Arabidopsis thaliana: one gene and its partners. The protein of the gene in region 1 purifies or fractionates together with the protein of each later gene. This does not show direct contact. Each region holds a gene or a part of one and is shown in the gene's direction. Other genes may lie near its edges.

Evidence for each region.
Region 2: the proteins of EMB2820 (region 1) and GTE2 purify together in Arabidopsis thaliana (affinity purification with mass spectrometry, with the first as the bait; one study listed by BioGRID). This does not show direct contact.
Region 3: the proteins of EMB2820 (region 1) and NSP4 purify together in Arabidopsis thaliana (affinity purification with mass spectrometry, with the first as the bait; one study listed by BioGRID). This does not show direct contact.
Region 4: the proteins of EMB2820 (region 1) and CNGC19 purify together in Arabidopsis thaliana (affinity purification with mass spectrometry, with the first as the bait; one study listed by BioGRID). This does not show direct contact.

The regions. Positions count from the first base shown.
Region 1 is NC_003076.8:8,446,207-8,454,217, forward strand, and holds EMB2820 (Cytidine/deoxycytidylate deaminase family protein), read left to right. Parts: upstream 1-1,747; 5' UTR 1,748-2,139; exon of another isoform or gene 2,140-2,213; 5' UTR 2,214-2,349; intron 2,350-2,648; 5' UTR 2,649-2,673; coding exon 2,674-2,746; intron 2,747-2,847; coding exon 2,848-2,899; intron 2,900-2,983; coding exon 2,984-3,060; intron 3,061-3,129; coding exon 3,130-3,263; intron 3,264-3,401; coding exon 3,402-3,484; intron 3,485-3,695; coding exon 3,696-3,795; intron 3,796-3,979; coding exon 3,980-4,390; intron 4,391-4,478; coding exon 4,479-4,582; intron 4,583-4,659; coding exon 4,660-4,840; 3' UTR 4,841-4,875; exon of another isoform or gene 4,876-5,086; 3' UTR 5,087-5,363; downstream 5,364-8,011. Other genes in the region: AT5G24680 (Peptidase C78, ubiquitin fold modifier-specific peptidase 1/ 2), read left to right, coding at 7,460-7,515, 7,626-7,758, 7,855-8,011. UniProt on the Arabidopsis thaliana protein: Involved in RNA editing. Catalyzes the specific deamination of adenosine-34 in several cytosolic tRNA species. Generates inosine at the wobble position of the anticodon loop.
Region 2 is NC_003076.8:3,331,147-3,337,510, reverse strand, and holds GTE2 (global transcription factor group E2), read left to right. Parts: upstream 1-2,597; coding exon 2,598-4,052; intron 4,053-4,134; coding exon 4,135-4,339; intron 4,340-4,421; exon of another isoform or gene 4,422-4,430; coding exon 4,431-4,516; downstream 4,517-6,364. Other genes in the region: AT5G10560 (Glycosyl hydrolase family protein), read left to right, coding at 46-462, 575-1,176; AT5G10540 (Zincin-like metalloproteases family protein), read right to left, coding at 5,049-5,129, 5,239-5,310, 5,401-5,466, 5,575-5,606, 5,722-5,881, 5,989-6,106, 6,253-6,364.
Region 3 is NC_003074.8:5,568,869-5,576,099, forward strand, and holds NSP4 (nitrile specifier protein 4), read left to right. Parts: upstream 1-3,034; 5' UTR 3,035-3,147; intron 3,148-3,236; 5' UTR 3,237-3,276; coding exon 3,277-3,477; intron 3,478-3,632; coding exon 3,633-4,073; intron 4,074-4,175; coding exon 4,176-4,445; intron 4,446-4,543; coding exon 4,544-5,491; 3' UTR 5,492-5,890; downstream 5,891-7,231. UniProt on the Arabidopsis thaliana protein: Specifier protein that contributes to constitutive and herbivore-induced simple nitrile formation. Promotes simple nitriles, but not epithionitrile or thiocyanate formation.
Region 4 is NC_003074.8:6,041,909-6,049,789, forward strand, and holds CNGC19 (cyclic nucleotide gated channel 19), read left to right. Parts: upstream 1-3,093; 5' UTR 3,094-3,473; coding exon 3,474-3,866; intron 3,867-3,956; coding exon 3,957-4,148; intron 4,149-4,219; coding exon 4,220-4,318; intron 4,319-4,395; coding exon 4,396-4,782; intron 4,783-4,871; coding exon 4,872-5,117; intron 5,118-5,206; coding exon 5,207-5,352; intron 5,353-5,425; coding exon 5,426-5,503; coding exon of another isoform or gene 5,504-5,525; exon of another isoform or gene 5,526-5,542; intron 5,543-5,582; coding exon 5,583-5,712; intron 5,713-5,822; coding exon 5,823-6,063; coding exon of another isoform or gene 6,064-6,080; exon of another isoform or gene 6,081-6,153; coding exon 6,154-6,431; 3' UTR 6,432-6,621; downstream 6,622-7,881. Other genes in the region: AT3G17675 (Cupredoxin superfamily protein), read right to left, coding at 336-541, 759-942; AT3G17680 (Kinase interacting (KIP1-like) family protein), read right to left, coding at 1,230-2,254, 2,311-2,359; CNBT1 (cyclic nucleotide-binding transporter 1), read left to right, coding at 7,166-7,660, 7,754-7,881. UniProt on the Arabidopsis thaliana protein: Putative cyclic nucleotide-gated ion channel.

The DNA.
Region 1 (8,011 bases):
TTTCGGGCTTTTATAGGGCTGGCCCTATTATACTACGGTTCTGTTCGTTTCTCCATTTGACAGATCCATCCAATTGATCCATTCAACATGTCCATCTAGATGATTCATTCGACTCTTGTTCGTTTTATTTTTAGTCGGTTCATTTGACTGGACCATCCGAATGAGATGTTGTTCGTTTACTTATCTCTATCTCCATCCAAATGATTTGCAATAATACAAATACCTAAAATACCCATGCTTTCATCTAATTCTTAATCTAAAATATATTTAAAAGTAAATAAATTTCAAATAATAGTTTTTTATATTTATAAATTTATTTTACGGTTTTGGCGGGAAAACGTGATTTTATGATTTGACGGGAAAACTCGATTTTACAGTTTTGGCGGAAAACAAAATTTTACGTTTTTGGCGGGAAAACGTGATTTTACGGTTTTGGCGGGAAAACGTGATTTTACGGTTTTGGCGGGAAAACGTGATTTTTGCGGTTTTGGCGGAAAAACACGATTTTACGGTTTTGGTGGAAAAACGTAATTTTTTGGTTTTGGCAGGAAATCACGGTTTTACGGGTTTGCCGGGAAACCGTGATTTTGCGGTTTTGGCGGGAAAATAGAATTTTACGATTTTTGCGAGGAAAAAATGATTTTGCGGTTTTGGCGGGAAAACGTAATTGTACGGGTTTTGCTGAAAAACGAATTTTACGGTTTTAGCAAAAAAAATGATTTTGCGGTTTTAGCAGAAAATTTAATTTTTTATTTTTTAAAAAATAATTGTAAAATAAGATTTAAATCTATTTATTTATTTTATCTAAAAATACATCTAAATAATCAATTGAAATAATTAGGGTATTTTTGTCATTTGTTATTTTAGATTGAATCATCTCCATCCAAATGATCCAATTTAGTTCAGTCAAATGAGTTTCAAAATTTAGCCTAAATTTTCAAACTCATCCAGATGATTCATTTGGATGGATCATCTGAATGAACCGTTTTTGGCACCAAACGAACATCAAAACTCATCTCCATCGAAATGATCCATCTTACTGATGAAACGAACATGCCTACAAACTTTTTTTTTTCTTCTTTAACACTAAACGACGACGTCTCTTTTTTTTTTCTTTTTTTTTTTCTTTCTTCTTCTTCTTCAATCTTCTTTCTTCGATCTCTTATTTTTTAAACTCTCTTCTTTGATTGTGAGAAGCCATAAAAAAAGGTTCGATATCTCTCTCTTAATCTTTCATCTTTCTCATTTTTCTATTCTCATAGATTGATATATTCTCTATCTTTGGAATCTGATTCATAGGATTGGGGTTTAATGGTTTTCGAAGAAATCTGGGTTAAAGTGTGTTCGTGTGTTCTCTAAATTTGATTCACTAAACGTGGGTTTCGAAAAATTGAATTCTGTGTAGCTATGATCTTGTGGCATAAGGCAAACTGATTCCTGAAGTTGGAACATCGTTCTCTGGTTCAGTAGAGAACCGACGAACACCCTTCCCCATCTCCGACGATGTTGTTTTTCTGCTTAGGACACAAGTTTGTTTTGTTTTTTTTCTCTTAAACTTTCATACTTTCACACACTCATAAGTTTACACACATTACACATATATATAGGAGATTTCTTCTACTCACCATACCCACTCTCTTAGACCTTAAACTTAGTCACTATTTAACCTTACTTCTAGACATTAGACTTAGGGATACAAGCAACCTTACACAACCTTACCTTAGCCACTAACAACCCCAACTACTCTACCTCAAGTACTTAGCTAGAATAAGCTACTTCTACGAATGGGCCACAACAAAACATACTTCACCACTTTGGGCCTACACAACTTCATCAGCCCAATAAGATAAAACATAAAACCCACTTCTCTTGTCTTCTTCTTCTTCTTCTTCTTCTTCTTCTTCTCACGTCTCTCTCTTACGTCGTCTTCTTCTTCTAGTTTCCAATCTTCTTGTTCTTCATCATTGTTGTTTCCTTCTCACTGATGTTCTTCTTCTTCTTTGCAGGATCAATCGGAGAGTTCAATCTCAACAGACGACCATACCCTCGATACAGTAGCTGCTCCGCTCATCAACGTCCATTTCGCCGCCTTTAGCCGTCAACGTTCTCTGGTTCTGTTGCCGTACAAAATTCTTAAAGGTCGCGTTTTTATGTAAGCGTAGGGTTTAGTTGTCGTCCCGCTCTTTTTAATTAGACTTTGTTAATTTAATTAGGTTAATTAGATAAGACCTAAAACGGCGACGTGTAAGCTGTCGTCTTCTTGACCTTTTTGGTGAACTCCTCCTTCCTCTCTATCGGCTATCGCTCGCTGCGTCTCTGTGTCTTGTTGCTTGGAGCAAGCTCTCCAGCGTGAGTTAATCTAATCTCTGTAATGATTAATTACCTTCTTTTACGGTTTCTGGAATTGCATCTGTGTGTGAGCACTTGGTTTGAAATATGATTTAACTAGTGAATTCGATAATGCTGTTCAATAAGAATGCTTAGAAAAGCCTTAACTGGGTTTTACTCACCACTCTTCTTATTGAATCTAGAAATTGAAAGTGTGAATTTTTGCGAGTTCTCTTATTCAAACTTCACTGCGAAAGGTGGAGTTTTTCGTCTCTGTTTTCTCCCTAATTCTTATAGTTTGAGCTAATGGTGTTAATCAGGCTCAAGAATAGATAAAATAAAATTATGGATTCAGATGCATGGGAAATTATCCATATACCTGAAAAGCCTTCATTGTCACCTGACCATCAGCCCACTGGTATGATTCAATCTCTAAGTTTGGTTTTTTAGTCTATCAAAGGTTCTTTATCTAAACTTCTTCTTCTGTGTGTGTGTGTGTGTTGTTCTTGTTGTTCACAGTGAAGGTATATGCTAGCCTAATCAAACCCAGATTTGCCAATACGATAGTGAGGTTTGTCATTCTTGTTTCGACTCTTGACTCGTTGATTCCAGTGCTGTAATCTCATGAGTGAATTTTTTTACTTTGCTATGATAGGCATTTATGTAAGATTGCTCCTCTAGAAGATCTTCGTCATGTTAAAAGGGTGAAGAAGAAGATTCTGCCAGATTGCGGTATCCCATTGTTAGTTTTCTTAGCGCGCTGATACACCAATCATAAGATTATGAGGTTTTTATTGTAAGCTTATTGGACAGGTGAAACTCAGTTGACTGTCATCTTATGTCTAGCACCTGAGCACAACGATCAGTTGAGTGACATGCCACCTGATGTGCAGAGACTCGTTGATCCCTATGAGTTGAGTCCTTTTATTACACAAGTAGGTTATTTTTCTCTTATCTCACCACTATTTGCTTCAAGGGTTTTTGATTCATTTAGCTTCCAAGTCAGAGATTTCTTTCTGCTCATTCATTTATATTTTCAGTGCAATCTCATATTTCTGCTATAACTATGATAGGTATGCAAATATGCTGCGGTATCCAAAGAAGAGTGGGAAGAACAAAGTAAGATATGGCCTACTTCATTTCATCCACCAACCTAGTAAGCTCCATGTCTAGAATCAGTTTTGTGACCAAAAGAGTCTTTATTATCTTTCTGGTCTTTTTATTATATATGCTTTAGTCGTTCTAGAATAATCTTATTTCTTGATGGTTTCTATTGGTGCTCTTATCTGCATTGTAATAGCAATATATGTCTTTGTTTATAGTGCAACAGTCAATGATTTTTTACTTTTTGCATTTGGCAATGATAGCAATATAGATGGCATCGGTGGGTTCAGCGAGGAGGAAACACAATCAATCTGCAAGTTCATGAGAGTTGTTATTGATATGGCAGTATCTGGTCATACACCAGTAAGTATTTTCCATTGATCTACATAACGTCGATATCAAGTTTTAGACAACAGACCATTCATTTTTCATGTACCATTTGCTTTTTTTAGCGCCTCAATCCTTGTTCTCTTGGTAGAAAGATTTACCATCGTTTCATTACATAGAAAATGATCTCAATTTACCACATTTCTAATGTACTTTTCAGCTTGTGAATGCTGCAGTGATAGTTGATCCTTCAGTTAGGCGAATAATAGCTAGTGAAACTGATCAAGTATATGCATCATCTGCTCCTCGTGACATGACTAGCGCAGAGACCAGGCCCTTCGAGGAAACAGGGGAAATATGTTTAAATGACACACTTGAAAAACAGAATGGTTCATTGTCTGCTCTTTCTTGTCTGAATCCCTGGCAATGGAGTTTGCAGCCGCATGACACTGAAAATTGTAGCCAGTGGCATCCTCTTAGGCATGCTTCCATGGTTGCCATTGAATCCTCTTCTGCCAGAGATAGAAATCTGTTTCCCAATCCATCCAAGATTTTTGATCAGGATCATGTTCCGCCCTCAAATACAGATTCTCCGGCTAAAAAGCAGAAAACAAGCAGTCAGAGTCCAGACGTAAGTTCATTCCAACCAAGTTTTTTAATTTCCTCCACATGCTTTGACTAGTACAGCATTCTCTCTTACACTTCTGAGTTATCGATAGGTCCAAAATGACAGCAGAGAAGAGACTGTTAGAGATCCTTCAATGGAAAGGCCGTACCTCTGCACTGGTTATGACATTTTCCTCCTGTTGGAGCCTTGTACAATGTGAGTTTCTACATACATATTACCCTTTTAAACTCTGCAAGTGTGTGTATCTAATAAAGTCGTGATATGTTCCCAAGGTGTGCTATGGCGCTTGTGCATCAAAGAATAAAACGGATTTTCTATGCTTTTCCAAACACCACGGCAGGTGGTCTCGGGAGTGTTCATAGACTTCAAGGGGAAAAGAGTTTGAACCATCATTATGCAGTGTTTAGAGTTTTGCTGCCTGATGACGCACTTAGACAAATGACCACGGTCTAATGCATTGTTGTAGTCGATTGATAATCAGGTTCTGGGTGAGAAAGCTAATTCTTTGTTCTTGTTCATTCCAAGAATCTGGAATCTTATTGAATTATTATGTAGACCAAAAACTTTCGACTTCTATTACTGTGTATGGCTCAGTACTCTCTAGTCAGAAACTTGTGTTTTAGAGAAACAACAGAATGCAAGAAACGAACCGTCACTAACCAATCCTCACATGAAATAATGCATCTCTACTTACTGTAGTATCAGGTCATTGCATGGCCCAACTGAAATCATTCTTGCACTGCGCTCTCTTAATCTAACAACAGAGGATTGACGATTGCCGCCATTCGAAAATCGTCATTAGCTGAAAGACGAAAGAGGTTGTTATGAGGTAAATGGTGATAATCTCAAACTTGGTTTTCAAAGTTATAAGCTCATCTGATCGCGCAACACGTGTATATTTGTATGTATTAGATTTTGATAGGTGAAAAAAAAATTATGTAACAATAAAAAGTCTAGATTAAGACCTGTGTATGAGTGTTTTAAAATTATAAATTGTACTAAATTTAAGAAAAAGGGTTGTTTGTATATTTGTTTTTGCCTTAATACACTAATTTGCATTTTGATATTTTAAATTTGTTGTAAAATTTATTACAATAATCTAGTAAAGTTAAATTATCAATATGTTATTAGATCAATGTTAGAATCATTTTACAATATTCATATTGTAAGATTTGCATTTCAATATTTTAAATTATTGTAAGATTGTATATATATACACTTATTTATAGCCTATAGACATTTATTATTTCTTATTCATAATTGTAAACTAAATTATTAGTGTTAATTTTTATTTTGCCACAATTAATGTTAGATCTAAAGTTTAAAATCCAAGATTATATCATATTGTACATTTGTTTATTTACTTTTCATTATTCTAAAGTAGATTAATAGTGTTAAATCTCTCTTTTGCCACAATTAATGTTAAATATAAATTTAAGACTCCAAGATTAGATCATTAATTTCTTTATATATTGATATAAAAATCTAAACTAAGAATTATCATCGTACGAAAAGAATGGAGGGTGACAAACATAATAATTCTAAGACAATTTTTTCAATGCATAAAAAATAATCCTACGACAATGATTATATCAGAGGATATAGTTGAAGAGATATTTCAATATCTTCCAATAAAATCACTAGCTAGATTCAAAGTCTTGTAAAAAAATGGAGATCAATGATCAAATCAACCTACTTTTCCCACAAATGACTCGTTCGTACAGGTTTACCAACCCCTAATATGAAATATCTTCATGTTAGTCAACACTTTTCAGCGAATTTTGTTGAAGAAGATTCAACTCAATAACTTTTCTTTTGGAGACTTTTTCTAGAGATGACCATAACAACGGAAAAAACTGTCATTCTTCTTCTTGTTACTACACTTTTCCTGATGATCCAATCGACAAATGTCAAAATAAAACCATTCAAGTATTGGGATCTTGTGATGGATTGGTCTTGATTCAGATCCATGACGATTTTAGGCACATTTACTTGATCAATCCTTCGACTAAAGAACACATGAAACTTTCCAAAGTGGTGCGTCGTTGGTACGCACCTTGGTTACTTTCTTAGATTACATGACCGTGCATACATGATATTTGTTATTATTAGTTAAACTTATACATATCAACTTGATTACTTTTTTTAGCTTTGTAGTATCCGAAAAAACTTTTCATGCATGCTCCGTTAGACCTTTCGATCTGCGGTAATTTCCGTAACGTTCGCGTAGCCAGGTTGCAAATTAAATCGCAACCTCAGTATCTTGAAGGCAAATCAAACCTTGGATGGGTTTAGAAACATTTCAAAGTGGTGTTTCGTTGGTACACATCTCTTGTTGACCGGAAGACAAGAACAATGCTTCCTCCTCTTGACAAACAGAATGAAACAACGTTTCGGGTTTGTTTTGGTAGATTGGTAAAACATTGGTGACGAACAACACTCGAGGCTTTTTCATTGATCAACTCAAGTAAATTTCTCTGAATTCTACGGAGCAAATAAATGATGCACATTGCTTTGAGACGCATAGCCATTTCGCCAAGACTTTTAGAGGCATCGGTAACAGAATCTTCATTTGTAGATCATAAGGAAGTGTTTCAAAGCTTGAATTCTCCATTCTTGTTTTTTTGTTTGTTATGATATTTTGTGTTTTGAGACATAGAGACCTACTAAACACACATGTGATATTTATAAGAGATTCTCAAAAATTGGTTTGTTACCAACGTTGTGACTTGTTGAGTCGTAAAACGTGTACATGCATCTCTGATTTATATTTCCAAAAGAGAAATATTAGTTCCTCACATTAAAACTTACCATAATTATTGGCCAATTAAGATTCTTTATTTTCTACTTTCTCTCGTTTAAATTTATCTTTTAACACAAAAATAAAATAAAAATCATTAAGAATTAAAAATTCCAAAAAAAAATAGAAATAATCAATGCACCACAAGCACTCCAATTAAACGCAGGCGTTTTGATCATCACCGGAGGAGGTCAATTTCTGATTTCTTCCGGCGAGAAAACAAACGAAAGAGTGAAAAAAAGGCGACTTTTTTCTTGTCCCGGGTTATAAAGATGTCAGCTTTGTGTCCTGTCTGCAATCTCACGCTTCCTCTCTCCCTAATCCAAAGGTATCAATCCCTAATTTCAGCTTTGTGTCCCTTATTTCTATATGCTTCTTAGTTGCATTCTCTCGAGGTCTTGATGTGTTTGTCTGGTTATGGTGGATGGTTTGACTCAGCCATGTGAATTCCCACTTCGAAGACGATGAAATCAATCCACAAATCGAAACCGATCACCACTTGGCTCTGCAACTCGCTTCTGATGATCATTCTTCTGATGATCCTTCTTCGTCTTCCTCTGCTTCATCATCTGTAATACTTTCTTAAAACCCTTAAATCTTCTTTCCACTCCTGTGTTAGGTTCAGAAAAGAAAACCCAATTGATAAAACATTGTTTCATTTCTGCAGAACAACGTTGCCTCCTTGGTCCAGTTACAGACTAAGAGTCAATTCTATAGTGTAGGTCATGGTGGTTTGATTTGTTTGCTGAGGAACTGTCTGGAGTCAGAACTGAAATTGAAGTCGAAACCTTTAGAGTGTAGTACTAGTTTACTATCAGGCTTTG
Region 2 (6,364 bases), 5.1 Mb from region 1:
TTTTTCTCCTCGCTGAAACAGTTTATAAATGTCATATTTGTAAAGGAAAGCCGTGTCAACGAAAGACTTTGTTCACGGAACTTCTGGAGTATGTGAAGAAGACATCTTATGCGTCTGGTTGCTCAGACGTGTCTTGTGATTCTGATACCGGATTTGGAGAAGCTGTGGCCATCGCCAAGGGAGCGGATTTTGTCATAGTAGTTGCAGGATTAGATCTCTCTCAAGAAACCGAGGATAAGGATCGAGTTAGTCTTTCTTTGCCTGGTAAACAGAAAGATCTTGTGTCTCATGTTGCTGCTGTGAGCAAAAAACCGGTGATTCTTGTTCTAACCGGTGGAGGACCAGTGGATGTAACGTTTGCTAAAAATGACCCGAGAATCGGAAGCATTATCTGGATTGGTTATCCAGGTGAAACTGGTGGACAAGCACTCGCTGAAATCATATTTGGAGACTTCAATCCAGGTTAGCCTATCGCAAATCAAAGCATCTTCTGTTCATCCCAGTTTATGAAATGCAGAAACTGAATACTAAAGCTTTTTGGTTGTATATGGTTTTGGTTTCGGTTCAAGTGTAGGTGGTAGATTACCGACAACGTGGTATCCGGAGTCATTCACGGATGTGGCAATGTCGGATATGCACATGAGAGCCAATTCATCTCGTGGATATCCAGGAAGAACGTACAGATTCTATACCGGACCTCAAGTTTACAGTTTTGGGACCGGTTTAAGCTACACGAAATTCGAGTACAAGATCTTATCAGCACCAATCAGACTTAGCTTATCGGAACTTCTTCCACAACAGTCTTCTCACAAGAAACAACTACAACATGGAGAAGAACTTCGATACTTACAGCTCGATGATGTGATTGTTAACTCTTGCGAATCTCTGCGGTTTAACGTTCGTGTTCATGTGAGCAATACCGGAGAAATCGACGGTAGTCATGTTGTGATGCTGTTTTCGAAAATGCCACCGGTTTTATCTGGTGTTCCGGAGAAGCAGCTGATTGGTTATGATCGTGTTCATGTTCGTTCCAATGAAATGATGGAAACAGTGTTCGTAATCGATCCTTGCAAGCAGCTAAGCGTAGCGAATGATGTCGGGAAGAGAGTGATTCCTCTGGGGAGTCATGTCTTGTTCTTGGGAGATTTACAACATTCTCTCTCTGTTGAATTCTAAAACACTGTAATCCGAAAAAATTTCATTACTGTTTATTTCCTTCTAGAATGATCTATATATATACTTTTGAAACTACAGAAACAACCAGGTCAGCTAAAGAGAGTGTGACACGCACGCAATTTTTCTGCGCGTGTGATTGTGGTAGAGATTAATCAACAGAGAAAAGTGAGCTGTCGTGGGTCCCACGATATATCAGGGAAATGGTCCCCACATCTGTTGTTGTGTTTGGGGATAGACGCAACATTTATTATTATTTACGGTTATGACCTCCTTTTTCCAGTATACAACCTGACACCTCATAATATGTGTTTTTAATCAAGGATCCGACGGCCCAGATTTTACCCAACTTCGTCAAATGTATATAAACAAAATTGCACTTATTTTCTCAATAATTGAGTCACTCTCACCTCCTTCCTTTGAAAAAAAAAAACTTGGATCGAGTCTCCTTCCTCTCTCTTCCTTCAAAGTTCTTGTTGATCTTGTTCAAGGAATCAAGGGCTTGCCAAGAAAAAAGATTAGATCCTTGAGAAATCTGGGGTATTTCCACAGTTCAGATTCATGCTTTACTGATGATTTCTTTTAAAGGGTATTTTCGTCATTTGAAAGGTTCGACGGTTGCCCCAGTTGGCTAATTCCTCCGGCTTTAAGAAAATAAAATAAAGTACATCGGTGTTTCTTGGCTGTCCTACCCCTTCAATTCCGGCGAGTTTGACCGCCGGTGTTTAGTCTCGAATAAAGTTCTTTGAATTATGAATTTGTATCTCTATCAATTAAATTGTGATGCATTTCTAAATTTATGATGAGATAGGAATATTTAATCTAACAAATGGACAGATTATTCAAGAAACTGCTGACCTAGCAAAAGTGAAAGCGAGAATATTAAGAATAAGTCTCAAAAAAAAAATTATGTCGAAAAGAAAAAGGAAAAATAACTGTGGGCCCATGTGAAACAGTTCAGACTCCGAAATTACCAATTTGCCTACATTTTGTTTAATTAAGAAAATCGCTAAGAGAAATAAAGCACGCACGAACCAACGGCTATGGAACGGTCACTGGATAAATTAACGAAATCTGAGCCGTCCACGTCAGATTACTCGGGCAGATGGATCGGGCAACGTCATTAAACAGATCTGAACCGTCAGATCTCGAATCAACGGTGAGGAGAAGCACTAAGCGTTTTAACGGGCAGATTTCAATGTCCTTTAAGAAGAGACGATGCCTCACCTTGTTTTTCCTCGTCCTCCTCTCCAAACAACAATCCCTTTCTTTTCTTCCGATCGCCGGAATTGTTTTTCCGGTGGCGTTAATTTCTCACTTCAACGTTTCTAAATTATACAAGGGTCAGATCAAAGGTCTGATTCCGGCGAAGGGAGAAAGAGATCATATCCCTCTGAAATGATCTTGTGCCCTTCGAGTTTTGTATGGCACCTGCGGTTTTGGCTAACCTAAACGAACCGTTGTTTCTGGGACAATGTGGCGCCGTTTTTATGAGGAAATACACAAACCAACCTCTTTCCGGTGATATCAATAATCCTCTTTTCAACCCTAACCCTAACCCTAACTCAATCTCCGCTTACGGGAACAATTCGAGCAAGCATTTCGATGATTCGTCAGCTTATGGAGACTACGTTTCCTTTGATCTTGATGGGTACACCTCGAATCAGCTCAGGGAGCTGAAGAAGCGTCTCAATTCGGAGCTCGAGGAAGTTCGGTTCCTGAGAGAACGGATCGAATCGGGTACGTTCGTGAGCGGCTCTGTTTATACTACTCAAGCTCGTAGCTTCGCTGGTGAAACGAATGACGTTGGAGTGAAGAAGACGAAGACGAAGAAGAAGAAAATTGGGCATGGGCAGAAGCGAAGCAATCCGTTTGCTACGGACGAGCCTAGCCTTAAGCGTCATGTGGCTTTGGATCTGATGTCTGAGAAGGTGTTGAAGAGTATGATGACGACATGTGGTCAGATCTTGGTGAAGCTGATGAAGCATAAATGGTCATGGGTCTTTTTAAATCCTGTTGATGTGGTAGGTTTAGGGCTTCATGACTATCATCGGATTGTGGACAAGCCTATGGATCTGGGTACGGTGAAGATGAATCTGGAAAAAGGTTTATATAGATCGCCGATTGATTTCGCTTCTGATGTTAGGTTGACTTTCACCAATGCGATGTCGTATAATCCAAAGGGTCAAGATGTTTATTTGATGGCTGAGAAGCTTCTGAGTCAATTTGACGTTTGGTTCAACCCTACATTGAAGAGATTCGAGGCTCAAGAGGTGAAAGTTATGGGATCATCGTCTCGTCCTGGACCTGAGGATAATCAAAGAGTGTGGAATCAGAATAATGTGGCGGAGAATGCAAGGAAAGGACCTGAACAGATTTCTATAGCTAAAAAGCTAGATTCAGTGAAGCCGCTACTACCTACATTGCCTCCTCCTCCAGTAATTGAGATAACACGTGACCCATCTCCTCCTCCTTCACCGGTTCAGCCACCACCACCACCATCACCACCTCCCCAGCCGGTTAACCAAGTGGAAGCATCACTTGAAGTGCGTGAAACGAATAAGGGAAGGAAAGGGAAGTTACCGAAACCGAAGGCTAAGGATCCAAACAAGCGGGAAATGACAATGGATGAAAAGGGAAAGCTTGGCGTGAATCTACAAGAATTGCCTCCTGAGAAGCTTGGACAGTTGATTCAGATTCTTAGGAAGAGGACAAGAGATTTGCCTCAAGACGGTGACGAAATAGAGTTGGATATTGAAGCTTTAGATAATGAGACTTTGTGGGAGCTTGATCGTTTTGTTACCAACTACAGAAAGATGGCAAGCAAGATCAAGCGACAAGGGTTTATCCAGAATGTGTCAACTCCACCAAGAAACATGGTAAAGCAAACTTCTGATCCATTTATCAAAATGCACACTTTGTTTCTGATTGGTTAGTACTGATCTTTGTCATTATCATCAGCCTCCGGTGACAGAAATGGGAAGTGCTGAGAAGAGAGGGAGGAAAGGAGGGGAAGCAGGAGAAGAGGATGTAGACATTGGAGAAGATATACCAGTTGAGGATTATCCATCAGTGGAGATTGAAAGGGATGGTACAGCTGCCGCTGCTAGTGGTGGCTCTAGTTCTTCTGGCAGCTTCAGTTCGAGTGGCAGTTCTTCTTCTAGTGGTAATATAGTCTTACCCTTTCATCTATTTCTCATTTAAATGTTTATCTTTTGCCAATGTTTAAACGGTTTTCGGTGTTTGACTCTATGCAGATTCAGAGTCAGGGAGTTCATCAGGAAGTGATTCGGATGCGGATAGTGTGCAGTCTCCATTTGTGGAAGCAAAAGAAGCCCCGTAATAATTGTTGACCGTACGTTGAAATATGCTTAACAACTCCAGGAGACTAGAATCGGAGAATTTGGGTGGAGGTGGAACCTTTGTGTAAATGGAAGGGAAAGGAAGGAAGGGAAACTCGAAAGAAAAGATTTTGAGTGTTAGGGAAACAGTAGATAGAGGAAAACATGTAAAGGGTAGTTAGTGAATTTCTAGGTTGAGCAAAGAGGTGGAAGTTTTCTGTCCTTTTCCTCTTTCAGATTAAGGTTCTTTAGATTATTGGTGACACCATGAACAGAGTGACTTAGTAAGAAAAGATCGAGAGGATCTAAGAAAAATGTAGTGGAGAATGTGAAAATGGTTCGAAGAAAAATATTATCTCTGTTCGTTTCGTTTATGAACCATTTTTTTTTTTACCAGCTGCACTTCTATGAGATGATTACTACAACACTTGAAGAAAGCATGCTCAGGAAACAAGCAAGGAAAAAGTTTAATTTTATTTAATGACATTAATAAACCCAAAGTTGAGTGTGAGAGTAGCAAAGGACATAATTAGTTCAAGCAGAAGCAGCCAAGAGTCCATTGTGTCTGAGCAGAGGCTCTGGGGAAGGTTCTCGTCCTCTGAACTCCACAAACACCTGTTCAATAGTTTACCATTACATTTGATCATTATAAGCTCTGGAAACAAACAACTTGGATTTATGATATGCAGAACCTATAGTATAAAAGGCAGAGAAGAGATTTTACTTTTAGAGGAGCTTTTCCTCCTCCCAGAGCAAGTATAGTGTTTCTGAATCTCTGTCCTGTTTCTTTGACAGCCTGTGTTTTGCAACCCACACAACACAGAGAGATGTTCAGAGTCTGGAAAATCGAATCAAAGCTTCAGTAAGTTTGTTTAGCAGCATATACCTTAATGTCATCCAACCCAGCATCTTCAAAAGCTGAAAACGCATCTGCAGACAAAACCTCCGCCCACTGCACGTTGTCCACAAAAGTGTATTTAGATATTTGACCAGCAGAGAACCATCGTGAATAGAACTGCTGCATCGGTGAATTATATAGAAACAAAAGAATATATTTTACCTTGTAACTGTAGTATCCAGCTGCATAACCACCTGACAAGACATGAGAAGGTGAACAAGTGAAACAAACTATCAAACGCACCTACGATAACTGCACATGACTAACGTTTACGGATGCGTTACAACAAAACGGGTTTAAGGATGTTACCTGCAAATATATGACTGAAGCTACAGAGGAATCTATCTTCAGGAAGTGGAGGGATCACTTGTGTTTTTATGGACACCCTTTGATCAACTTCGTAGATGGTCTCTGCCCCACCTGGCATGTATTTTGTGTGCAGCTCCAGATCAACTGTAGCAAACTTCAACTGGAACAACAAGAGCCAAATTTACTGAAATGTGTACAATCCGCTGAAGAAGAGAATCTTGCTTAGTACTACATATGAACATCTACAGTTTGATATAATGTACTGACCTGGCGAAGACTAAGGGACCCTGCACGGAATGTTCTTGCAGCCAGTAGCTTCTTGTATACATTCTCGGGAAGAGTTTCTCCTGTTTGATAATGCTTAGCAATGCTCATTAAGGTATCCCTGAAACCACATTCAGATAATGTTCATTATAAATTTACTAGTAAATGCCTCTACGCAGCACTGCAAAAGTATTTGTAAGAGGACAAAAATCACGGGGACCCAAACATTTGTAAATTAAATTCGGCAAGGCAGTTGAACCCAAGTACCTGTGGTAGCACCAGTTCTCCATAAACTGTGACGGTAATTCAACTGCATCCCACTCGATATTCCGGATACCAGCCACTAGCCCCTCATCCTCTTTGGTAAGCATATGCTGAA
Region 3 (7,231 bases), on another chromosome or scaffold:
TCCCAGACTAATTCTCAAACTTTGCTATCATGTTATTAACAAACATTACAATGTAGAGAAATATGGATGCCCTAGTTTCAACTAACACGATGAATCATGTCAATCACTGTATAAATAGTTAATAAGTTGTGACTTTTTTTTTTGTCGGCTAATAAGTTGTGACTTTAGGCACCGTCAATATTCAACTGTAATTATAATCGTATATAATAAGTGATTATATCTGTCAAATATCATATATAACAAATAATATAATTGTATGTATATATATTATCTCTATCAACTATAATCATATACAGAAAGAAAAAAAACAAGTGTTACATCACGCTTAGCTTAAAAGTTTCGACTTTTTGCACCGTCATATTTCACGTGTAAGCAAGAAATACAAATGTAAATAGATTATAATTAATGAATTCTCTCGACTCTCTCAACATAGTATATAAAAGGAAATCTACACATGAACCGTATCTTTCTCACTTTTGAAATATTTTGATGTTTTAAAGAAATTTTTTCAAAATTTTATATAAATTATAAATTAATTTAATATTTTTTGATTATTTATATTTTTCATCAGTCTTGTTCATAATTGGTTGAATTGTTTTAAAGTAAATATTTCTTTAGCTAAAACATCTTATACAATTAAAAGAAAAAAGTGTAATCAAATAACCAAATATAAATTAGTATTTCAAATTATACTTATTGCAGGGTGATAAACCTTTTGTCCCAAGTGAAGTTAAACCTATAAATATATACCCCATTTAGAGGGTCCTATATAACTAAAGTACCACATATTTGGTGGTTTATATCATTCAATTTTTTTGTAACTAACTTAATATTTGATATGTAAAATCATGTTAAAATAGGATCAGCAGATAGAATATATAAAAAATAAGTCATGTACAAACGTAACGTTCTTCATATCTTAGGTAACGTATCTAACAATTTTGTTAAATATTATTATTTTAAAAAATTGAACATATTATTTGGAAACTTTTCTTTTGATAATTTTGAAATGGCACTTTGTAATTAAGAGTTTAATAAAGAACACGTCACACACAAAAACGAAGAAAGAGATTATAGAAATTAAGTTGTGTTTTCAATCTTCGTGTATACAAAACAAAAATAAAAATTAGAAATGATATTTCATACGATGTTGTTAAATAATATAATTATGAAAATTAGTTGTGCTTTATATTATTATTTTTGTTGGAAGCTCTAGAAACGATCGACCTAATAGTATATTTTTGTCACTAAAAAGTGTGATTAAAATATATATATATATATATATATATATATATATATATATAATATTGTAATTTTCAACCAATTCTCGGTTTAGGTGGTTTATTATTATATTGTTTTTTGAAAAAATTAAAAAATATATCCTTATTAGTTCATTCTTTTCTGGTCATTCGTTCACACTTTACAACTTGGTTAATGGCCACTTCTCAAGTTATCGTTCTTTCATTTGTTCTACAGTCGCAAGAAATTATCGTTCTTTCATTTGTCATTATGCATAATGATTTCTCTTTTCTTTTTAGTGCATAATGATCTCACTACATAAAAAAATCTATCTTACGATTCAACTATATTTAGTCCCATGCACTCGCTGCATAACACATTACTTTCTTCGATTTAGAGTGATTTTCACAACCTTGTTTCTGTATTGTATATTTAGTTAGTGTTTGTGATTACCAAAAAAAAAAATTGTTTCTTCTTGGCTTAGTCTTTTTATCTTTTTTTTTTTTTTTGCTTCATCTATTTTTCCTCCCATGACAGATGAAGACGGCAAGAGATGCAGCAAATCTCATTTATGATCTATCTGAAGAATCAGCGTCATCGATTTGGAGACTCGAACCATAACAAAAAGAGCATCACAGTTTCAATTTAATTGCTCCTGGCGCTTCCTATTTCAGCAACAAACATTAAATAATTAATCCAATAGAGATGATATATATGGAAATTTCAAAACCAAAAAAAGAAACTTTCAAAACCAAAATTGCGAAGCCATAGAAATCGTGGATCATGGAATTGCGAAGACCAATGTTGACATATGGGAATTTGGTGTCCCAATGAGCAGAGATCACTAAGATTGGTTTTCGGGAGGAACTTTTTGAGTTCATGATTTGAAGAATTGTCTCGCCTATAAGCTATCGTCCATAGTTTGAGATTCATGCGACAAGAAGAAGGTTTGATTCACTTTCTCCATTTAATTGAATCATCTTCATAGATATATTTTCATACTTAATCAATGTTTTTACCAAAAAAATAATGTTATTTTATTATTTTGGTTTTATGTGGTTTGGGATTGGTGTAGATTATAAACCGATTAAACCAATGTTTTTGTGTTCTGAGATTTCAAACTTTTGAACTAAATAAATATACGTTTTGGGGAATATCCAATATCAATATGTATCATAGTTTGGACTCTATCTATTCCAGTATGATAATTCCCGTGGAAAAATATATCATCGTCTCTATTTTATACATGCACTTGCAACACAAACCAGCCATAAAGTGGGTCTATTCTTATAATTTATGACAACATGGAACACTATCATTGGGCCACGATGCAAGGAGCGAAGGACGATGCGAGAAGGTGCTTTACTGATTTGATGAACGTGGAGGTGATTCTGAATGATACGAGATCTCTAAGCTGAATATATAATAGTATAGTTTTTCGTAATTTTTTTTTGTTAAATTTTTTATCGCTGCTAAAGATTAAATGGCGAGTAAAACTATACTATTATACTTTCAAAGATCACCCGAGAAAATGATGACTGCACATACTTTCAATATCCCATAGATGACATATCTGTTTTATTTCCATCAAGCTATTCATCGAAACAAAAGCACATGACGATTATGGGAGAGAAACACTACTCTAAAATCCCGTAATAAGCTGCACCACCTAATTTTTTGTGCCTTGACCAAAAAAAATTCAATGTTGCAGTTCAACGAACCTTCTTACGGAGGATCTTTAAACAAAATTTATTTGGTACATAGAGAAAAATATTTTAATATATACTAATTTAATGCCTCGCGATCAACGAGTAGAGAAAAAATATGTCGCGTGTATCTTCTTCCATTGGTCAATAAATACCAATGCAATGTTTACTACACAAATCATTACTTCAGTCTCACTCTCAGGTCAGCTCTCTCCACATCTCTCTCATATGATTGTACTATGTATAAGATTTGGTAATATTTGTAATTACAAGTAAAATTCGTAAATACAGATAATATTCGTAAGAGGTTGATCAAACGAAAGCAAAAGAGATGGCCCAAAAGGTTGAAGCACAAGGAGGAAATGGCGGTAACCAATGGGATGATGGATCCGAATACGACGCTGTGACCAAGATTCAAGTCGCAGCAGGCGGGAACGGAATTGAATATGTTAAGTTCACATACGTCAAGAACGGACAAACCGAAGAAGCCCCTCTACGCGGTGTCAAGGGCCGTAGTTTCGAAGCAGATCCGGTTCCTATACACTATCCTTGCCTATCTCTTCATTTTTATCTATAAGGACATTGACGTGAATTAATATATATATATATATAGGTTATATATTGTCAAGGGTTTGTTTTGATAATGTTCTTTTTAAGAAATTGACATTTTGATCTTGATCTCTACAGTTTGTGATAAACCATCCGGAGGAGCACTTAGTTTCTGTAGAAGGTCGGTATAACCCTGAAGGACTTATTCTAGGGCTAACGTTCAAATCCAACAAGAAGACTTCTGATCTCATTGGATATGAAGATGGTACACCGTTCACTCTCCAAGTTCAAGACAAGAAGATCGTTGGATTTTATGGCTTCGCTGGAAACAATCTCCATTCTCTTGGAGCGTACTTTGCTCCGTTGACTAATGTAACCCCCTTGAATGCCAAAAAGCTAGAAGCAAAGGGTGGTGACACGGGAGATATATGGGATGATGGTGTTTACGATAATGTTAGAAAGGTATATGTAGGGCAAGCCCAATATGGTATAGCCTTCGTCAAGTTTGAGTATGTCAATGGTTCTCAAGTGGTTGTTGGAGATGAACATGGAAAGAAGACAGAGCTAGGAGTTGAAGAGGTACAAAAATAGATAATTCTATGTTGTGATTCGTCAAAAGGATATATATATATATATATTTATATGGGTAACCTCACTCAAAATTATTTGGTTTCTTTGCAGTTTGAGATTGATGCGGATGACTACATCGTATACGTGGAAGGATACCGTGAGAAAGTTAATGGTATGACCTCAGAGATGATCACTTTTCTTTCATTCAAGACTTATAAAGGCAAAACCTCTCAGCCTATCGAACAAAGACCTGGTATTAAGTTTGTGCTACAAGGTGGAAAAATTGTTGGGTTTCACGGACGTTCGACCGACGTTCTAGACTCCCTCGGGGCTTATATTTCATTGTCGCCCACTCCAAACTTGCATGGAAAGTGGACAAAGGTAGTAATCTTTTATATATCACCATGGGAGCTAGTTCACTAAGCAGACTCTATATTATAAAAAATCCTAACTAACAAGTATTATTAATTAATTATAAGGTGGATGAAAATGGAGATGGTCCAGGGCTAAGATGCTCGCATGACATAGCACAGGTAGGAAACAAGATTTACTCTTTTGGTGGTGAGTTCACACCAAATCAGCCCATCGACAAACACCTTTACGTCTTTGACATCGAGAGCCGGACTTGGTCCATTTCTCCAGCCACGGGAGACATTCCAACCCTCTCTTGCCTAGGTGTCTGTATGGTGTCAATAGGATCGACCCTCTATGTCTTTGGAGGCCGAGACGCTTCACGTCAATACAACGGTTTCTACTCGTTTGACACGACCACAAACGAGTGGAAACTGCTAACTCCGGTCGAAGAAGGACCCACTCCTCGTAGTTTCCACTCAATGGCAGCCGATGAGGAAAACGTTTACGTTTTCGGTGGAGTGAGTGCTACGGCACGACTCAATACACTAGACTCTTACAACATCGTTGATAAGAAGTGGTTTCATTGTTCGACTCCAGGAGATTCCCTTACCGCAAGAGGAGGAGCAGGGCTCGAAGTGGTGCAAGGGAAGGTATGGGTTGTGTATGGGTTTAACGGATGTGAAGTAGATGATGTTCATTACTACGATCCTGTTCAAGACAAGTGGACACAAGTGGAAACATTCGGTGTGAGGCCTTCCGAAAGAAGTGTATTCGCTAGTGCGGCTCTTGGGAAACACATTGTGATTTTTGGAGGTGAAATTGCGATGGACCCGCTAGCTCACGTGGGTCCAGGTCAATTGACCGATGGAACTTTTGCATTGGACACAGAGACGTTGCAATGGGAGAGGCTGGATAAGTTTGGTGGAGAGGAAGAGACTCCGAGTAGCAGAGGATGGACCGCGTCCACAACTGCGACCATTGGTGGCAAGAAAGGACTTGTGATGCATGGTGGTAAAGCTCCAACCAATGACCGGTTTGATGATCTCTTCTTTTACGGAATTGACTCTGCCTAATTAAGGCAGATTTGGTGATGAACGTTTGTGATGCAATAAGGGAAGGGTCTTGATACCACCATATTATCATTCGTCAGCTTGTCCATTTTGTTGATGTTTTTTTTTTCCTAAACGTTTTCTATATGTTTAATTGTTTTATGTTTCGTGGTTTATCCAATAAATTGTTTATTTTCTTAAAATAAATCCCCAGATAAAAAAATGCGAACTAGAAGGGAGAGTCATAGCTTAATATTAAATAAATAACGATGGATGTGTTGTATACGCGTTTACAACTAATCCCATGCAGGATTCATATTGTAATTGTTTAACTAGTCTAGTGGTCAAAGTCATCTTCCCACATGGAGAGGTGCAGAGTTCGAAACTTTGAATCTCCAACCTCCTTTTCATTGTTCTTCAATTAAAAAAAAAAAAACATTTTCAAATAATAGGCCGTAATTGTTTTTTTGCTTCTGACCTTCAAATAATTGAGGAGGGCTCTGGTTGTTGCTCCTCTGCTTCTAGCCACTCTCTTTAAACTATGTGTTGTGTGTTCTCTAATGAGAATAACTATGCTAATGTGATTTCTCTTTACAATGGTGAATGGTGATCTTTCTTTTAATTATAACTGTGTATAAAACATTATCTCTATTAAAGAGAATCACATATCCAAGATGTATTGATGCTTCAACTTTCTTTTCAACGTTCACTATTTAAACCCATGCATAATGCATTCCTTTGTTCGCACTTCGTATTTTAATTGAAATATTTAGGTAAGTCATGCCTGTCTCTTTTCTTTTTTTCTTTTTCTTATAACCAAGTCCTGCCTTTCTTGGTTTGTCACTTTCTCATAATCTTATCCGTGAGTATTGATCTCTCTACGAAAATTTCAATTGACCATCTCAAAGAACTTGTAAAATGCTCTTCCTTATTATCATCCTTTTTTTCCCTAAAATTTAGTATTTGTCTTTAGCATATTTTGTTTTAGTTGAAAACGATTGATAAATTAGTGTTACATCCAAATGCTGGAATTTTATAATAAAATAAAGAAGTTAGTAGGGTTCATGTTAGATGTGTAAAATACTTTTTTCACTAAGACATTAGATTTCTGTTTCGATAGATTATTATAAATTCTTCAGTTTGTTGATGTCATTACTATTGACTCTTTCAGTTAAAAATGTCACAGAAAGTAGGACCTTTCGGTGGTAACAAAGGAGATCCATTCGACGATAGCGTTTTTGGTTACAACGGTGTGAGGAAAGTGATTGTTGGGGAAAACGGTAACGGCGTGGATTGTATCAAAATCGAATACGAGAAAGACGGCAAATTCGAGACACAAATGCACGGAAGTGTCACCGGAGTACTAAAAGAGGTTGCATAACTTTGTCTACATATGATACTGCATTTCTAATTATATGTGTTGACTATACCATTCTCTGTTTTTTGCTCTGTTTCTTCTTTGTTGCAGTTTGTACTTAACTATATCACATCAATTCAGGCAAGCTATAGCGATGTTGCGAGATACAACACAACTATCGTGAAGTCTCTTATCTTCAAGACATCACACGGGAGAAAATCTCCCATGTATGGTCAGATAGCGATTTTTAAAACAGATTTCGTGGTGGAAGGTAATTGTGGAGCAAAACTTACCGGGTTCCATGGAAGGTCTGGTACTGCTCTGTTTGCTATTGGAGCTCATTTTCTCGCGCCTTCTTCTCCTGTGAAGCAGTTAGAACCTCAAGGTGGAGACAGAGGATATGCTTG
Region 4 (7,881 bases), on another chromosome or scaffold:
TGAGACAAATTTACAAAACTTGTTGGTGTTTTAAGTTTTAACTATCCTTGCAGGCCCGGATTGCGAAACTTCAACAGAAAGTTGTTGAACTAGATGTAACATAGAAGTATTCTGACTCTGGGAGTTGATACAAAACAGCCGTTGCAATAAATGTCTCTTTCTTTGGGTGTTCCAGAGTGGAAAGGTATGTGTATAGGTTATTAGTATAGCAAGAGGTATTGACATTGCGTTGTGTATATATTACTCAGATGATATTATCAATGTTAATGACATTATTTTGGTACTAAAGACTACCCAAACAACAAGCTTCCTATCTTTGATAATCATTACGGTACTCAAGGAGCTACATTAATGCTTAGCTTCTGGCCATTTACACAGTGATCATCCACTCCACAGATGAACCATAGCTTTCCAACTTCTGATAGGATTATTGAGTCGTTACCTTTGGTGAAGAGAGTTGTGTAATTGTCTAATCCACAATCTGTGTATGCTGTAGAGTTAACTTGCATAACATTATGCTGGTCACTTTTGTAGTTGAATACTGTTGAAGAAGAGAGACAGACTTAGCAAGGTAAATGCTGTTATGCTGGAAATAACTTATCATGTTTTCTTACTATTGATATGGAACAGAAGACTGCTGAAGAACAGAGGCAGAATTGACATAAATCATCGTCTTTTTTGGTGAGATAGTATGTATGGGATTGCAACATTGGTTCTGCTGTATTTAGGCATCGTAGTACAGGAGTTAGAAAAATTACCTAAGACATCGCCGACATGAAACTCTCTTCCCTGTGTCCAGTTGGTATAGTTTGTAAAGAGTTCCCAGCCATTGCTGTCACCAACTATATGCTCTGTTCCTTCAGATTTTAGCATGAGAGAAGATAAAGAGAAAATGGCATAGAGTATAATCAAGCTAGAGAATCGGCTTCCCTGATGAAGCATTGCTATCTCTTAACTTCTTGTTTTCTCAATTTCTTTTCAGAAATACAGTATATTTATAAAGCAGTAAGCATTTGTGGGTAGGAAGGTCATGACATTGTTGTGTTAACCAGATAAGTGAGTCATGAAAACCATACATATGTGGATCAAGGAGCCACAGATTGTATGCGGGGTACAACAAACTGTGCATCAGGGCGATGCACTGAAAAGCATTAAACCTAATAAGGCGATAGAACATACACAGTTATGTATGCATTGTTCATAGTTTACTAATACAGCAAAGGATTAAGCTAATAAGGCAAGTCGAAAGTGCAGCATGATGGAGCAGCAGCCGATGGGTTAAGGCTGCACTTTGTAAACAGGTTAATGGTGTTCAGTTTCTTCAACCACTTGAATCCAGGCTTCTTCTCTTCGGTTTTGTTCTCCTTCTTCTTTTTGGTCTTATGCTTATCCAGGCCAAAGCATCCGTATGAGACCTTATCAGAGACGGGCTCTGAGTTCCTAGATGCCTGAAGCGAGTAGATGCGGTTCTGGAGAATGCAGACCTTGTGAAAGTGGTCATCTCTCATCTTAAGCACACACCTAGCAAGCCCAACAGCTTCGTTCTTCATGAACAATGCCTCAGTGGCTAGCTCTCTGTTCTCCTCCAAGAGAGAAGTGAGTTTGTAGCCAAGATTAGCGTTTTCCTCCACAGCCACTTCTTTCTCCATCTCCAGCAACATGACAAACTTCTTCAACAGCTCTATAGTCTTGGAGGCTTCATGAAACTGTTGGTCCTTGTGAAGTAACTCGTGTTTCAGAATCTCTTTGTCCAAGCTTGCTGTCACAAGTTGGGATACAAGCTCATCGACTTTCTCAGAAACCGCAGTAGGATCTTTCATCTGTTGAAAGGATAAGGTGCTCTCAACTTCAGAACTGACCTCACTAACGGAATCAATGTCCGAAATGCAGTCATCATCATCTTGGAGAAGCTGGTTCGGAAGAGAAGTAGTGGGTTTAAGTCTGGTCTGATGAGAAGAACGACCCAAGAGAGTGACGTAGCCGTTGTACAGGTCCAGACAAAGTGAGAGAAGCAAAGGTCGTCCCTGGTAAAACCATTCAGCTCGTTGAGCAAAGGTATCATCATCTCCTTGGCTTTCTTGAAAACCAGACTCACGCAGGATTTGCATCCGAGCTTCAAGGTCTGTTTCCAACATTTTTTCAGACAAGAAGTGATGAGAGAGAAAGACAAACAGAGCAAGAGAGAGAGAGAAAAAGGGGGTCCACTGTTTCTGTAGCATGCTTTGTGATTTGAAAATTTGAAAATGTGAAAAAGCTCCAAAAAGAGAGAGAGAGAGTGAGAAGAAATTTGAAAATGGAAAATGAAAGTACCAGAGAGAGATGGCAACTGTGGAGCTTCCATGGATGCTTTGTTCTTCATCTTCTTCAACCTGAAAGATATACTTGTTTTAGTTAGTGATTCGTATATAAAATTATAAAGGGAAAATGGGAATAATGGCATAGATGATGAAGACATTGATGGCTTTTCCAAGAAGATAATAAATGTTAAGAAAGGGATATTTTAGATCATCGAGATTAATGAAGGATCGGAGTGGGGAGAAGAAAGATACAAACCCAGAAATAGTGAGAGAGAGAAGATAGCTGACACGTTTGTTCAGTTGTATCAGTGCAGAGCATATAACAGGCAAAATCCGCCAAAGTTACAAGCATTTGATTTTGTTCCACTCATATTTTAACACGTGGCTTTAGTACTTGGGTTTGGTAGTTGCGGCCCATTGTTTGTTGGGCTTAATAACTCAAAGCCTTTAGGTTTTTGAGATTCTGACATCAAATTTAGAAAGCAAAAAGAGGGAGAGAGCATATTGGTTGGTGGTAAATGACAATTTTATATATCCAGAAGAGTTCATAAAGTTATGTCATCGAATAATGTTTTCATAAATAAATAAAAATGTGCGTTTTAGAAAATAATATTTATTTCATCGTCTTTTTCCATAAACGCGGATCTCTTTATTCACACTCTTAATTATTTTATCATATGAGACAATTGCATATAAAAAAAAAAAACCTGAACTGTGTGTTTGGTGAGAATTCCAGTTTATTCTTTTTCACTAATGCTCAGAAATCATCATTCTTATTTGGAAATATGCACTAAATAAAATACACAATGGACAAAGCTCTTGGATAAAGTTTTCAAAGTAACACAAGAGGCAGCTTCTTGAGGTTTTCTCTCTTCCAACTTTTTTGCTTTACTTACTACTGAGGTTTTCTATTCCTTTGGAAGCTTCGTTGATGGGTTCAACACAAGATCTAAAATGTAACATTTCTTTTCTTAAATTTCCTGCAAAGTTCGATGTAGTTCATGTTTTTTTTTTTCCATTCTTTTCCTTATAAAGTGTCGTCCACATTTGCTTGACGGGATACAAAACGAAACCCAAGTCTCTGTCTTCGTCTCCTTCTTTCTTCTTCTCTCTGTCATCATTTTGCTTTTTTTTCTTCTCCTACATGCCCTAGATTTTGGGTTTCTGAAATAAAAAATGGCTCACACTAGGACTTTCACTTCCAGAAACCGTAGCGTTTCTCTCTCAAACCCATCTTTCTCCATTGACGGATTTGACAACTCAACTGTGACTTTAGGCTACACGGGTCCTCTTCGAACCCAGAGAATAAGACCTCCTTTAGTGCAAATGAGTGGTCCTATTCACTCTACTCGCAGAACAGAACCTCTCTTCTCTCCTTCTCCTCAAGAATCTCCTGATTCCTCTTCTACCGTTGATGTTCCACCTGAAGATGATTTCGTCTTCAAAAACGCAAATCTCTTGAGATCTGGACAATTAGGGATGTGCAATGATCCTTACTGCACTACTTGCCCTTCTTACTACAACCGCCAAGCTGCTCAATTGCACACTTCCAGAGTTTCTGCCTCTAGGGTATGATATTTCTACTTACCTTGAGACTCAAGTAAACATTATACATAGCAGCTGACACAAGAGTATTTTACTTTCTTTTGTCTTGTTTAGTTTCGCACTGTTCTGTATGGTGATGCTAGAGGTTGGGCTAAGCGATTTGCCTCCTCTGTTCGTAGATGCTTACCCGGAATAATGAATCCTCATTCCAAATTTGTTCAAGTCTGGACTAGAGTCTTAGCCTTTTCAAGCTTAGTGGCCATTTTTATAGACCCTCTCTTCTTTTTCCTCTTATTGATCCAACAAGTATGTCTCCTTCTCTTGCTCTATCAATCTCCTTCTTGACTGTATACGTTTTCATGAGTTTGATACTGCAGGACAACAAATGCATAGCGATTGATTGGCGTGCGACTAAAGTATTGGTGTCTCTTAGAAGTATAACGGATCTTATATTCTTCATTAACATTCTGCTTCAGGTGTGTCTCCATTGCTCCTATCTCATATCTAAGGAAATTCATTGGCTTTAACGCTTCTTTGGTCTTATGTGTTGCAGTTTAGGTTGGCCTATGTAGCTCCTGAGTCTAGAATAGTTGGTGCCGGCCAGTTAGTTGATCATCCAAGAAAAATTGCTCGCCATTACTTCCGAGGAAAGTTTCTCCTTGACATGTTCATAGTCTTTCCCATTCCACAGATAATGATATTAAGGATAATACCATTACACTTAGGCACACGCAGGGAAGAATCTGAGAAACAGATTTTACGCGCTACGGTTCTTTTTCAATACATTCCAAAGTTATATAGACTCTTACCTCTTCTTGCTGGACAAACATCTACTGGCTTCATATTTGAGTCAGCTTGGGCTAATTTTGTTATTAATCTTCTCACCTTCATGCTTGCTGGTCACGCTGTTGGCTCTTGCTGGTATCTCTCTGCTCTGCAGGTATATAGTAGAAGATCAGTGTCTTTAAAGATTCTCTTCATATCTATCAAGTGATTTAAAGATTGTTTTTGTTGTATTGCTTTTTTCAGAGAGTTAAGAAATGCATGCTGAATGCTTGGAATATTTCTGCGGATGAACGTAGAAATCTTATCGATTGTGCTCGTGGAAGTTATGCATCGAAGTCACAACGAGATCTGTGGAGAGATAATGCTAGTGTCAATGCTTGTTTTCAAGAAAATGGTTATACCTATGGGATCTATTTGAAGGCAGTGAATCTTACCAATGAATCTAGTTTCTTCACAAGATTCAGTTATTCTCTGTATTGGGGATTCCAAGTAAGTTCATTTCAGGTTTGGTTGATGTTGCAGCTATTAGTCTTTGAATCACTCTTTAACTAATGTTGAAATGTTTTCAACTCTGAAAGCAAATAAGCACACTTGCTGGAAACTTATCCCCAAGTTACTCAGTGGGTGAGGTTTTCTTTACAATGGGTATCATTGGACTAGGGCTTTTGCTTTTTGCGCGGCTTATCGGTAACATGCACAACTTCCTTCAATCACTTGATCGAAGGTAAATCACATTTCATCAACAATGTTCTGAAAAGGGATGGTGAATTTCTTGGCTAATGCATGTTCTGTTTTAGGAGGATGGAAATGATGCTGAGAAAGCGTGATGTGGAGCAGTGGATGAGCCATAGACGTTTGCCAGAAGATATAAGAAAGTCTGTGCACTGTGGCATTTGATTTTCTCAGGCTGTGTAATGTGATATTCATAACTAATCAACTGTTCAACTTTTTCAGGAGGGTGAGAGAGGTTGAGCGGTACACTTGGGCTGCGACAAGAGGAGTTAACGAAGAATTGCTATTTGAGAACATGCCTGATGACCTTCAAAGAGATATAAGAAGACACCTCTTCAAATTTCTCAAGAAGGTAATAAGCAACAGCCTCATGACAGCATTAGTCAGTATTCATTTTGTGTACTCAGACTCCACAGTGTTGCAAAAAGCTAGTTCTGAATCCAAGTGTTAATGAGTTTGCAGGTGAGAATATTTTCGTTGATGGATGAATCAGTTTTAGATTCAATCAGAGAGAGGCTGAAACAGAGGACTTACATAAGGAGTAGCACGGTGTTGCATCACAGAGGTCTAGTAGAGAAAATGGTATTCATAGTGAGAGGTGAGATGGAGAGCATTGGAGAAGACGGTTCTGTTCTTCCTTTATCAGAAGGAGACGTTTGTGGTGAAGAACTTCTCACTTGGTGCCTCTCTTCTATAAACCCCGGTACTAATAACATTTGAGTGTTCATAACTCTTAATGTTTTTTGGTTAGAAACTTGGAACTTTGGAGCTGAATACGTTTTGAAACTTGCAGATGGGACGAGGATAAAGATGCCACCAAAGGGATTGGTTAGCAACAGAAATGTTAGGTGTGTGACAAACGTGGAGGCGTTTTCGCTGAGTGTAGCAGATCTTGAAGATGTAACAAGCTTGTTTTCAAGATTCTTAAGAAGCCATCGAGTGCAAGGAGCTATAAGGTACGAGTCTCCTTATTGGAGGTTACGAGCAGCTATGCAGATCCAAGTGGCTTGGAGATACCGAAAGAGACAACTCCAGAGATTAAACACTGCTCACTCCAATTCCAACCGTTAAATTTGATGATGATGTTTGGTTTGGTAGATTAGTAATTTTATTTTGAAGTATAAAGCTTAGTGATTCACTATAAAAGATGAATCGATGATTCATTCGTTGTAATCAATTCACTCATTAGTGTTTCTTAAGTATCTTTTTGCTGTTTTTCCAATCATACGGTATAATTTTACTTCAGGTCACTCGGCTTGAGTAACTTGGGCTCATAATTTCGGCCCATTCTAATTGATCTTAAATTAATAATTAATCAAGCCTGGATAATGAATGATTTTTGCCTTTTCGGTACTTCTTTACTGTAAGAAGTTAATTAAGACAAAGAAACGGAAACAGCCATGTAGTTAATGACATTTTGCCTCCAATAATTAGGGCCAATTAATTAGTTACAGTTGGTAATCAAATAAAGGAATTTTCGAATTCGTGAATATTCAAAAGGAAATAAATGTTAAAAACACAGAGGAGAGAGAAGCCTCACGGACACGAAATAATAAACAATGTAATAAAAGTCAGTGTTTGACTTTTCCAGACATGAGTTTTATTTACAATAATACACTTCCTTGACCTGGGCTACGAAGAAGAAGACCCCTGACTTGGTCATCATCTCCTTTCTTATTTCTTCTTCTTCTTATCAAAATTACTAAAACTCTCTGCTTCAACTTCCTTCTCCGCCTCAAATTTTCCCTTTATGCCTAGATTCTAGCCTTCTAGGGTCTTCTTGAAACCGTGATTTTGGTCAAGAAATGGCTTCCCACAACGAAAACGATGATATTCCCATGCTTCCGATTTCAGACCCATCATCTCGTACTAGAGCCAGAGCTTTCACTTCCAGGAGTCGTAGCGTTTCTCTCTCAAACCCTACTTCCTCCATTGAAGGATTTGACACTTCCACTGTGGTTTTAGGCTACACGGGTCCTCTTCGAACTCAGAGACGTCCTCCTTTAGTTCAAATGAGTGGTCCTCTTACCTCTACTCGCAAGCATGAACCTCTCTTTCTTCCTCATCCTTCTTCTGATTCCGTTGGTGTCTCTTCTCAGCCTGAGAGGTATCCTTCTTTTGCTGCTCTTGAACATAAAAACTCCTCAGAGGATGAGTTCGTTTTGAAACACGCAAATCTCTTGAGGTCTGGACAATTGGGAATGTGTAATGATCCTTACTGTACTACTTGCCCTTCTTACTACAACCGTAAGGCTGCTCAAATCCCTACTTCTAGAGTTTCTGCCCTTTTTGATTCCACGGTAAAGTTTTGATTTTTGTTACTTTACATTCACAAATATAGCTTCAGGATCAAGTAAATGTCGTTGAAACAGAGTCTTTTGTTTTCTTGCTAGTTCCATAACGCTCTGTATGATGATGCTAAAGGTTGGGCAAGGAGATTTGCTTCCTCTGTTAATAGATACTTACCTGGAATCATGAATCCTCATGCCAAAGAGGTTCAAACCTGGACTAAATTCTTCGC